2 linked regions of the Saccharomyces cerevisiae S288C genome follow. Changing the gene in region 2 together with the main gene of any one other region gives a genetic interaction. Each region holds a gene or a part of one and is shown on either strand. Other genes may lie near its edges.

Evidence for each region.
Region 1: mutations in YCS4 (region 2) and TOF2 together harm fitness more than expected from each alone (negative genetic interaction), as found in Saccharomyces cerevisiae (3 studies listed by BioGRID, with this or other methods).

The regions. Positions count from the first base shown.
Region 1 is NC_001143.9:458,424-463,137, reverse strand, and holds TOF2 (Tof2p), read left to right. Parts: upstream 1-1,898; coding exon 1,899-4,214; downstream 4,215-4,714. Other genes in the region: chromatin-associated RNAPIII regulator FPT1, read left to right, coding at 442-1,503.
Region 2 is NC_001144.5:681,748-689,546, reverse strand, and holds YCS4 (condensin subunit YCS4), read left to right. Parts: upstream 1-2,344; coding exon 2,345-5,875; downstream 5,876-7,799. Other genes in the region: protein phosphatase regulator PIG1, read left to right, coding at 1-464; CMG1 (Cmg1p), read right to left, coding at 5,986-6,810; DCS1 (5'-(N(7)-methyl 5'-triphosphoguanosine)-(mRNA) diphosphatase), read right to left, coding at 7,309-7,799. UniProt on the Saccharomyces cerevisiae protein: Regulatory subunit of the condensin complex, a complex required for conversion of interphase chromatin into mitotic-like condense chromosomes.

The DNA of each region.
Region 1 (4,714 bases), on a different chromosome or scaffold from region 2:
GAAAGTGGCCATCCATTCCACTTTCTGTTTTCTTTCTATTGAGTGGTCAGTTAATGTGCTACTTCGCTGAAAACTTCCTTGTTTTAGCATGTGGCATTCTCAGTGTACATAATGATTTATAGCTCAAAGGCTTTTAATGTTTAGGTAGTTACAGACCTTTTGCCGCCGTGAATTTTTGACGTCTTGTAGTGCTGTGATATAATTGGACTATAAATCATTACCCGGCCTTTTAAGGCATGAGTGGCGTTCCAACGTGCTGTCAAAACTATGAGACCAAAAACCAAAACACACCCCTAAGAAATGTATAGGGATTTATATCAGCATAAAGGTGCCATAATTAAAGAGATTTAGCCTGAACCCATTACTATTCTGTTACAGTTAAGTACTCATACAGACAGCTAGAAAAAGAAGAAGAAATACCAAGTACAAAGAAAGGAAACCATGTCCAAGTTAGAAACCGTTTACTTATACGCTGGTGAAGAACAACCACGTGTTAAATTGACCTGTATTAAGGAAGGTCTCACTTTAACTCAGGTTATCAAGTTCGTGCATTCTATTCAAGAATTGTACGGGATTGAGTTGCAAACTTCTGAGACCATAACAGAAAATTTGAAGATAGATTGTGCACCCGCATATTTGAAGCCGAATTGTATTCCCCATTTCTACATTCTCGAATATGAAGAAATAAGTGACACCTTTTTCATTTGGAAATCTGATGGTCGTTGGCAATTAAATAAGTTGTCTGCCTTGTTGTACGTGGATAACGACGCTAACGTGGTTAAGAACACTTCCTGGAAGGAGGTTTTCCAGAATGATCAACGATTTAAAAATTATGATAAACGGGCCTGGTTACAAAATTGTCTAGAAAAAATGAATAGAGATCTCTCAAAACTAAACGTTGAACAATTTTGGTCTCAATATGATAAAATATGTCAAAGCATTGCCAAACAAAAGAAAAAACAGGAACAGTTCAACATGGAGGTTTTCGATAACTTCAAAAATATTGTTTCTATTGCTATCATAAAGACCAAAGTTTTATCGAATAAGCGACTTTTGACAACAACTTTAAAAAATTATCATAACTCGATGAAGAAAAAGTATAACATCCAGGAACAAAATCTTAAGGAAAATAGTTTGGCATCGTGCTCAAACAATGAGCCTTCCGCATCTCTGGAAAGCGAATCAAGACATTTTTCTCCGGTAAATTCGCTGTCTCCTTCATCTTTGAGTACCGATGATGAGGCTGTCTCGACAGACTACATCTATAAAGGTCCTGAGTCTAAACCAAACGTGAATTTCATGCATTCAAGTGCTACAAACGATCTGATCAAGTCAAATTTTGAAAGCTATTTTAAATTGATGGCCGAAGACTATGAAACTTTTGACTTGAGAGCCTGGTCGAGACAAAGACCTCGAAAATTTCAGCTTGTGGAAAAAAAAAAAATCACTAAAAACCCTCCTAATAGCCATCATCCGCATAAAAATGGCAAAATATCATTTTAACTATTTCCGGGAAAACATGTCTTTTTATAGCATCTACATCCATTAAATCAAGAGAATAAAAGTAAAACTCCAAAAGTATGTACGTATATAGAACCAATTATTCAATCATTTATAGAAATGTGACCTGTTTTTTCTCTACTATTGTTACATAGGCATCACGAAAAAAAGTCGCATTATACGATACTGTTATATAATTTTTTTCATATTCTTCAGATCTCAAATGCAAGATGGTCCTAATTTGTTTGTTTGTTTATTTATTAGTTTCGCTGAAGAAGGAAAACAAGTCATTTTTGGTTAGCTACCCAATTATACAAGCATTCAATAAATACGCCAATCTTTTGCCACATTTCTTATAATATCCTTTGCCCTCCTTGGTGTTTGGTTCAAATAAGTAAATGATAAAAATGTGGAGGTTACAGATTGTACTGGTGCCGCCAAGTGCTCAAGATATTATCACATTTCTCGAAGCACGCTTGAATACTCCACAATCAGTGTCTCCTATGGTCCAGTATAATGAAGATATAATTACGCACAACAACAGTATCAATAACTGTAGCGACCCCTCTCCTACGAGCCCGTCTTCGCAAAATTCTATTCAGTCGAATCGTAGTAGTGATTTCATTAACTACCTCCCGAATTGTAAAAAGTTTTTACATTTTACGGACGGTGACAATACCCTTTTACAACTATCTAATGAAATTTTAACTAAATTTGATAGACTTTATCCAAATTTCAAAGAATCCATTGAAATCGTATCTCTACAAGATAGGCATGGTTGTGATTTGGACTCTGAATTTATAATAAAAGACGTATTTGAAAATGATGGTGTGGTTTTGGTAATTTTAAAAGATGAATTAGACTGGAGTAGAAATCAACATATTTCACTTTTACAATTGGCAAGACAGCGGAGACGGCAGGACAACAAGCCATCCACAAAATCCATCGTTACTGAAAAGAGAAAAAAGATCTCTAAGGAAGACTTATCTTCTATATCAAATAAAGATACAATGCATCTAATAGCTAAAAGCTCGCTCAAGAATAACTTCATTAATAAATCAAGAGTATCAACGCCGCTAATGAACGAAATTCTACCGCTTGCAAGCAAGTATGATGCACTGAATAAAGAAAAGTGTCCCATGCCACTTACTTCCACAGTAGTGGCATCAAATGTACACAAAGACGTAAAAGATCACGCTCGTGCTAAAGAGGGAGTTGTAACGCAAGGGAGTGATAACAATAAAGAAAATATACCTTCATCCACTCAACAACAGAAAAATGATGGCGCTAAAAGGGCCGAATCAAAGGATTTAGATCTTTTACGCAATTCGTCAGAAGATGCTGATTATGAACCCGCAGATGAAAACTCCCCTCAAATTTCGTTTGATTCGATTGATACCGACTTCCAATTGAGCACTACTTCTCATACTAATTCTGATATGCATATACAATATTCTAACCCCTCTAGTGGTGCTCATAGTCCCAGGAAGAGTTCCTTAGAAATTAAAGTTCAAAACAAAAAAGGTGATGATCTGCCATTGAACGACAAAGATATAGGTGAGAATTGTAGAAGGATAGAAGCATTTTCAGATGAAGAGGATTTTAATGAAACCGATAATGATCGTGCGGATTCGTTTATCAACAATTCTAAGAAGGCATCGATGGGATTTCGGGATATCAATTCCGACTTGGATAGCGTTTCATTCAACAGTGATATTGAAAATGCAGTACAAAGTACTCAAAGTACCAAAAATGTTGTTTCTCCTCCCTTTTTTCCTGAAAAAGAATTGAATAATCGGTTACATCAAAGTCAAGGTAAGGAAGCCCTATTTCGACTTGTTGAGAAGGAGTTTCCTGATAAATCATTGGGTGCTGCGTCATCTACTTCGCATGCAAAAGACGTAAAAATACAAGAAACTATTCGGAAACTAAATAGGTTCAAGCCAACTGGGGAAACTAAGGTCCAAAAAAGGAATAGTATTACGGAACCATATTACGGAAAATTTGGAATAATGAAGAAAGATAAACCCAAATCCATAACTTCAAAAGGGGTAAGTCTGGAAACAAAGCACTTTGATGATCCCAATACCATTATTTCCGGTGAGAAATTCGCAAAATTTGGTAAAATAAAAGTGAAACGAAAAACTGATGATGTTGGATCGAAAGTTATAGAGTTTAAAAGAAAAAGAAATATGGGGAATAGATCCCTAAAAGATATTTTTGCCAATGCTGGGAAACCGCCAAATGCAGCTTCGACCATAAAAGTAGTCAAATTAATGAGAGATCCTGTTGATAATAGTAAAGACAAAGTGGAGGCAACTTCTAATAGTACGGCTCAGGAACAAGAACAAGTCTCACCCAAGTTGCCAGTTATGAATTCAACTCCTGGAAAAAGAAAAAATGGCCAAGCGATACCGTCCAGTTTAGAAAGAACACCGCAGCTCAAGAAAGTCAAGGTTACCAGGTCGCATTCTTCACCTTCTTCTTCTTCTTCCATGTCACTTGAATCTTCATTGGATAGCTCTTCCTCAGATGATTCGGATGATGATTCTGATTCGAGGAACGTGCAAGTTAAAAAAATTAATTTCAAAACAAGTCATGGACCAGCTGGAAATTCTAATGGAAAACCAATGCTGGATGTGGATGACAATGAAATAAATACAAAGAAGTACCAAACACCTAAATATGTTGAAAGTGATGAAGACGACCAGTAAGTCTGTCAGTAATTATGTTGGGATCTCTCAACCATATCTTAAATATTCTTGGCGAATTGTAGTAATTTTTTAGACTGGTTAATGATATCATAATTAAATCTTCAAAAGCAACCAACAAAAGAGAACTAATAGCGTACGGTATGCATCAATTATATATGATTATAACGGACTTTTATTCATGGACGTTTATATCATTCTGGATTATTCGTCATTATTGTTCATTGTTGAACACAATATAAAAAAATATAAAATATGGTTGCTAAGAGATTCGAACTCTTGCATCTTACGATACCTGAGTATTCCCACAGTTAACTGCGGTCAAGATATTTCTTGAATCAGGCGCCTTAGACCGCTCGGCCAAACAACCACTTATTTGTTGAAAATTTTAGAATTCAAGTATACCCAGTCATGTATTAAGTTAATCTTTATGTCATCTTTCTAAACTTTATATGTGTTGGAATAAAAATCCACTATCGTCTATCAACTAATAGTTATATTAT
Region 2 (7,799 bases):
CATTCACATTAAATACCGATGATAGGACCTTAGGTTCAAAAACACAAAAGCTTGAAGATAATTTGGCCAAAGAGTGGAAAAGCGCTAAGACAAGGACCACGTTAAACGAGACGCCATTACACGATGATGAGCATAGAACTTCCTTCACCTACACCACTTGGAATAATTCTACCGATACATTGATGAAAAGAAAAGAGGAGCGACCAGTAGAATCAGCCTCTTGTTCTCAGTTATCCATTGCAACCATAAAGGCGGAAGAAGATTTACTATACCAAGATTATATCAACAGCGGGAGGGAAAGCTCATCTCCGGAAATTTCTCCCTTGAATACCACAACCTCATTACCATTTTTTCCAGGTGATAATATGAGTGACAGCTCAGGAGAATATGAGGAGAGAACCTCTCTTAGCCCTAATAAAATTCACATTTTTCGTGATTATTTTTATAAGTCGCCGTCACCCTAACCATCGCCCATATTACAATAATAACAAAATCCTTGGAATGAAGAGAATAAAATTTTAATTAAAATTAATAAAATAGTTAATCATATTCTTTTGCCTTCATAGATTAGATATGAAATATTTTGCTCACATAAGTTAATATTGCTTTTGCATTTTTGTTTCTGACTTTAGTTTCTCATTAGTCGAAATGACTTTAGTTCTTTAGAAATATTTTAAATTCAGTGGGGGATTTTCGTTCTTTATTGGTGCAAATAACGATTAGTTTTTCATTTCACGATATTTAGCTGCAGTTGATAGGTGATATATCTGCTTTAACTCTTACCTTTACAGTTTGTGATGAAATGATAGGTTTAAACAGTCGTTTAAAGAGTTGTATAACAAAAGGACTCTTAACAATCGAAGTTTTTTTAACATGTTAACACCATCTTTAGTAAACGTTATATTATTGAGTATGTGAAATATACTAGAAGTTCTCCTCGAGAATATACGAATCAATAAAAGAGAAACAATATTTCTCCACAAAATCTTATAATTATTACACCTTTCGTTTTATATGTTTCATTGTCCTATTACATTATCAGTCCTTGCATTTCAGCTTCCATTATATTTGATGACTGTTTCCCAATCTTTATGCCATCTTGTTACACCGCATATGATAATAGATTCTAGTAACATGAATACTACTAATAAATGATATTTTAGAGTTTCATTTCAACAAATATACTATGTGAAACAGTAGTCAAATTTAATATGAAACCGAACATGCGAGAATTGAGGATTAATAGGATGTGAAACATATAAAATGGAAGAAAGATAATTACAAAATTTTGTGGAGAAATGTTGTTTCCATGTTATTGAGTCTTATATCCTTGAGGAGAAACTTCTAGTATATTGTGTATACATAATATTATATTGCCTTAAGCAAAATGGAATCCCAACAATTATCAAATTATTCACCAATTGATCATACACAATAGTTGATTATCATTTCAACATTATAACCTTATACAGAGAGTAATATACTAATGGATGAATACTACCAGTAGAATAAGACATAAACAAATATGATTAATGTCACTTTTTGCTTTTTTGCCGTCATTCTTTTTTATTTTTGTATAATTGGTGGTGTAACGTGGATTAAACATAAATAATAGGTTTCGTGGTCTAGTCGGTTATGGCATCTGCTTAACACGCAGAACGTCCCCAGTTCGATCCTGGGCGAAATCATTTTTTATACCTGTTATATTTCATAGAAATGTAGTAGTATTGCGAGATGAATAAAATGTCTGCTATTCAATAGTAAGGGCTTCTTTCCCCCACCTCTTTTGTTTGATTTTAAAATTATTATCAAGTAACGCGTTGTTTTCTTGTCGCGAGCCTTTTATTTACAACGAGTAAGGGTCAGGATATCTATGGAGTTTCTAGCTTGATCGTTATCACAAACTTTACTACTAAATGATAATTGTTGGTATGAACAGTATATATATATATATATATACATGTTCTGATCTTGAAAAAAAAATAAATAAAAAATGTTATTGATTGCAAGAATTTGGAAAGCAATTCATATGAGAAATTAAAATAACCAATTCCAGATTCTTTTTTTTTTTTTTCACTTTTCGAATTAAGTATCTTAAATACTGCACTTGTATATTTATATTCTTACTGTTGTAAAAAGAAAGACTAATGGCCTTTGTCAATTGCACTTTGGGTAAATTGGAAAGCAATAATATGAAAATTAAACGCATCGCGAAAATCTTGCGACCATTTAGTAAACAAAGAAAATAACCTGTCACTGACCAAAAAAAAGAAAGGTAAAGGAAGCAGCAGTAACAATATCTTTATCCTTTGATAGGTGGTAACTGACTTCGTTACTTTATGAGATGTCCGGCTTTAGCCTTTCCGAGTATCTGACCAAGTTCCAAACAACAGATCGAGAATCATATCCTCGCTTGCAGGACCCATCCAGAGAACTGAATGTTATCATAGACCAATTGGCCGTTTCACCCGAACAAATAGATGCTAGTCCAGATTCACTAGAAGCATTAATAGATCTTTGCCATGACTTCCCGCACTTAACACCGAAATTACAAACTCAACTAAGCTATTTGATAAGTTCATCTCTGTCGAATCTGTCAAAAGATATTAAGGCTAATCTCTCATCAAATGTTAACTTTACTGAAATTGGTGGCCTGATACCGCAGTGGAAAAGGCATTTAGAAGAGTATGGCTACCTTATTCAGGTACTTTTGACGTTTTTACAAGATGAGTTACATAAGGTCTCCTCGCAGTCTACCAATCTAAACCGTTCTGCCAAAAACAGTAAGAATGATAGTGCAAACGTCGAGCTGTTTAAAAGAGACTGTAATCAAATGGAAAACTTGCTTGAATCTATAACAAAGCTACTGGAGATTAACTTATCTAAGATATTTCAGACAACTCCTGAAAAGGATTTGTTTATTGGTTTGTTCACAAGACCATTATTTGTGTTATTAGAGATTGAACCTGTGACGAAGGTATCATCACTAAAGATGTTTATTCAAAGGATTTTGGCTATGTGTGTTAAAAATCACGGTCAAAGTTCAAGTATACAAAGTTCATTGATGACAAATTTAACTTATTTTCTTCATTTGTCGGTTTTTAATGCAGAATTACTAAAACTATTGAATGATGAATATAACTATCCACAACTAACAGAAGATATCTTGAAAGAAATCAGCACCAGGGTATTTAACGCAAAGGATACCACAGGCCCAAAGGCAATATCAAATTTTTTGATTAAATTATCAGAGCTATCACCAGGAATAATGCTTCGACAGATGAATCTTGTCATCACCTTACTCAACAATAGTTCTATAACATTGAGATGTTCCGTTGTAGAAGCATGTGGAAATATTGTGGCTGAATTGGCTCAAGACCCACAAACTATGGAACATTATAAACAACAAATAGCCGTACTTATTGAGTTACTAGAAGAAAGATTCCAGGATTCAAATCCCTACGTTAGAACGAAGGCGATACAAGGGTGTTCAAAGATCTGCGATTTGAGTTCGAAATTTAACAAAAGCAAAGCTAAATTTACTTCGTTGGCAGTACGATCATTGCAGGACCGCTCCTCTTTAGTTCGTAGGAACTCAGTAAAGTTACTTTCAAAATTATTGCTAAAACATCCTTTTAAGGCCATACATGGTAGCCAATTGAGGCTGAGTGAATGGGAAGAATATCTCAAAGGATCTGAATCACAGCTAAATTCCACTTTAAAGAAAGTAGAGTCACAAGAAACTCTGAATGACACGATTGAAAGGTCTTTGATTGAAGAAGAGGTAGAACAAGATGAAGGTCAATGTAGGACCGAGTTAGAAGGTTCTTTCAATAAGAGCGCAGAACTTTCTAGAATAGAAAATGAGGTAGAGAATATAAATGCAACAAATACCAGTGTTCTCATGAAGCTAAAGTTAATGATTGTTTACTATAAAGATGCCATTAGTTTCATTAAAGAGATACACAAGAGTATTGAATTGATATCTAATTTGCTGTTTTCTAAGAACAGAAACGAAGTTTTAGAATCAATGGACTTCCTAGTTTTAGCAGACGCTTTTGACATTGAGTTAAGCGAATTTGGTATAAAAAAAATGCTGCATTTGGTTTGGATGAAGGGCACAAACGATGAAGGAACGAGTATATCAGTACATTTGATAGAATGTTATAAGCAGCTATTTTTAACCGCGCCAGATAGTTGCAATATGCAGGAGAAGGCGGCACATATTGCCAAAAATTTAATTAATCTAAGCATCGGCGCATCTATTGCAGACTTGGCCTCTTTGGAACAGCTATTAGGAATGATGTATGAACAAAAATTGATTGATCAACATGTCATTAATATCCTTTGGGCTATTTACAATTCTGCATCGAAGGCCAGTATGCAGAAAGAACAAAATGTGAACAACCGTGACTCCGAAAAAGGGTTTTCTAAGGAACAAATTCATGGTTCTATTATTATTTTAGGAATGTTATCGTTAGCCGATAACGAAATAGCATTAAAAGGACTGGAGTCACTTTTAAACATTGGACTTGGTGCCGTTGGTTTAAAAGATCTGACCCTTTGTCGGTATTCTTGTTTAGCGTTAGAGAGAATGGTTCCCAAGAGAAGCACTATTATTACCAAGGCAATAAATCAAGAGCTTGAAGATGTTGCAGTGAAAAAGTTGTATGCCATAATTATCAACTATACCAAGGATAATGAATATTATCCTATGTGCGAACAAGCGCTTAGTGCACTGTTTACAATCTCTTCTAAGCCCGATATACTAGCTACAGATCTGATTAGAGAAAAGACAATGATGACATTTGGTAAACCTGAAGAGGAAGACTCTATTTTGTCGTTAGAACAATCATCTAGAGTTGTTTCTCTCAGTCAATTATTATTCATTGTAGGACAAGTGGCAATTAAAACACTTGTCTATCTAGAGAAATGTGAGGCAGAATTCAAGAAAAGAAAGATCGAGGCAGAAACTCGGAACGGTAAAGTAAAAAACCAAGGTGCAGATGTAACTAACACCACACAAGATAACGGTGGTGATAAAGAGCTAGAAATGATAGGAGGTACTAATGAGGACGATTTCACGGATGCTATTCAATTTGTAAAAGAGAATGAATTACTATTTGGAGAAAAATCTATATTAGGGAAGTTTTGCCCAATTGTAGAAGAGATTGTTTCTAATTCAAGCAGGTTTAGCGATCCAATGCTTCAAAGAACGGCAACCTTATGTCTAGAAAAACTAATGTGTTTATCATCAAAATATTGTGAAAAGAGCCTGCCGCTATTAATCACAGTAATGGAAAAATCTCCTGATCCTACTATTCGCTCAAATGCTGTCTTAGGACTAGGTGACATGGCAGTATGCTTCAACAACTTAGTAGACGAAAACACAGATTATTTGTATCGCCGTTTGCATGATGAAAACTTAATGGTACAAAGAACATGTTTAATGACAGTTACCTTCTTGATTTTAGCTGGACAGGTTAAGGTTAAAGGACAATTAGGAGAAATGGCCAAATGCCTAGACAATCCAGACCAGGGAATAAGTGATATGTGCAGATTATTTTTCACCGAGTTAGCATCCAAGGACAACGCCATTTATAATGGATTCATCGATATCTTTAGTAATTTATCGTCAGATGATTTATTGGGTAAGGAGAGTTTCAAGAAAATCATCAAATTTCTGTTAACTTTTATCGATAAGGAACGGCACCAAAAGCAATTAAACGAGAAATTAGTTGGAAGACTGAGAAAGTGCGAGACCCAAAAGCAATGGGATGATATTGCATTCGTACTAAACAATCTACCATACAAAAATGAAGACGTCACTGCATTATTGGAGCAAGGTTTCAAGGTTGTATCCGCAAAAGAATAATCGAACTGACGTTTACCCGTTTCTTCCGTTTTATATTATATGTTATTATATAAATAAAAGCTGTTCATTTCTTTCTTCTTGAAATATGACTTTACCTATCTCGATAAAATTCATTTGTGGTCGTCTTCATTCACTCCTGGGCAATGCTCGTAGAGATCACCTTCATCCTTATACTTGATTCCGCAAAAAAAACAGTAGTACTTCTCGGACCTCAGGAATATATTCAATTTTGTTATTCTTTTTTCAATGCTCAATTCTTCTAATTCAGCAAGTTCTGTGTCTTTTGTAATGCGACTACCGATAATTGAAGTATCACAATCTATTAATGTAGAAGGACGTCCAAACTTTTCACCTTTTATTGCAGGCGAAGCCTCCAAACTTTCATTTACCATTGGTATCATATTATTCTTATCTTCATTATCATTGTTACTGTGATTATTTAGGTCATTTTTTGCTACTTCCTCATTTAGTTGCATAACGTAAGATCTCCAAAGTACGTTAAAGTCTCTCGGATCTTCGCCTGGATTGTATAAATCGGAATCACCCATCATTTCAAAAGCAACTTTTTGGATCCTATACCAAATTTTTTTTAACCGCTTATTATTTTTCATTTCACTTTCTCTTTTTATAAATCGTTGTTCACTCATCTGCATGTCATTCATTGTTGATGGGTCGGGCTTTTCTGCACGAATTCCCCTCCTTTTTGTATTGATTTCTACCTTAATAGGCTCTTTTAGGGCACTTTCATTACTACCTAATGTTTCTCCTTCTTTGTAACCCATGTTTTCCATCATTTTATAACCCCTGGGCATGATTGAACGTAGTGATGTGCGTGCAGTTTCGTCATTTGTTGAATCTCTTTTTGACTTCTTCTGAGGCGGTGTATTCTTCAAATCTATGCGATCCTCTTTTCTTTTTGTCTTACTCTCCTCCATTTTATGCCCTCCCTGAAAGTGATGGTAGATGTGTAGCGTACCTCTTATTGTCCGTCCTCTTATTCTGTAATTCTTAAATTAAATTCAATCCAGTAAATATTACAATTGAATTGATACCTAATTTTTTCTATTGACTATATTTCAGAGTCAACGTGATCGTTCTAACTTTCATTATCGATTATAGATATTATTCTCAGCAGTGGAAATCTTTTTATCTCAACTCGTCACCACACAAAAAAATGGAGACAGGATCCGGAAGACTCAGGAGGATAGAGCAACGTTATTGAACAGTGTTTTTAATTGTTTCATTCTTAGTCTTTAATTTATTTACTTTAAACCGACGGTTATATAGTACGTATTCTATTATTTTTTAATCACAAAATCTCAAATAGGCATGCCTTATGTTGTTGTGAAACTAAGGTATATAAAACAAACAACTTTCAAAAAAAGAAAATGAGAGTAGGAAAAAGGTGGATGATGTGAGAATTTTAACAACCTTTATTTAAAACCGTTCACAATCTTGGGTATTTTTGGGATACCATCTCTTTCCAATTGTTTAGTGAGTTCTTCTTCCAGACCCCTTTTCCACAAATCATGATTTTCACCAATAGCGTAGGTGATTGTCTTGTTCATGTAGCCTTCTGGTCCTAGATAATTTAACATTTCAATGATGTCTTCCAACAAGATGGCCTTGCCCGCGGCAATACTATTACCTAAACCGGGATGCTTTATGTTAACGATGTGAATGTGGAAATGATAATAAGAAGGTTGGTAGTGAACCAAAATTCTCAACTCATCCGGATGGACAGCATAGTTGTAACAACCAGGAACAATGGATCTAATCTTGTTGTTCAAGTTGATTAACCACTGTCTGTCAGAATATCTTAAATCCCTTATTGTCTTGATATCGGTCCTGTAGACGATCGCAACTAGATATAAAGAGTCTAAGTTCATGCCATCCCATTTCATATCAGGTAAAATTAGGAAGC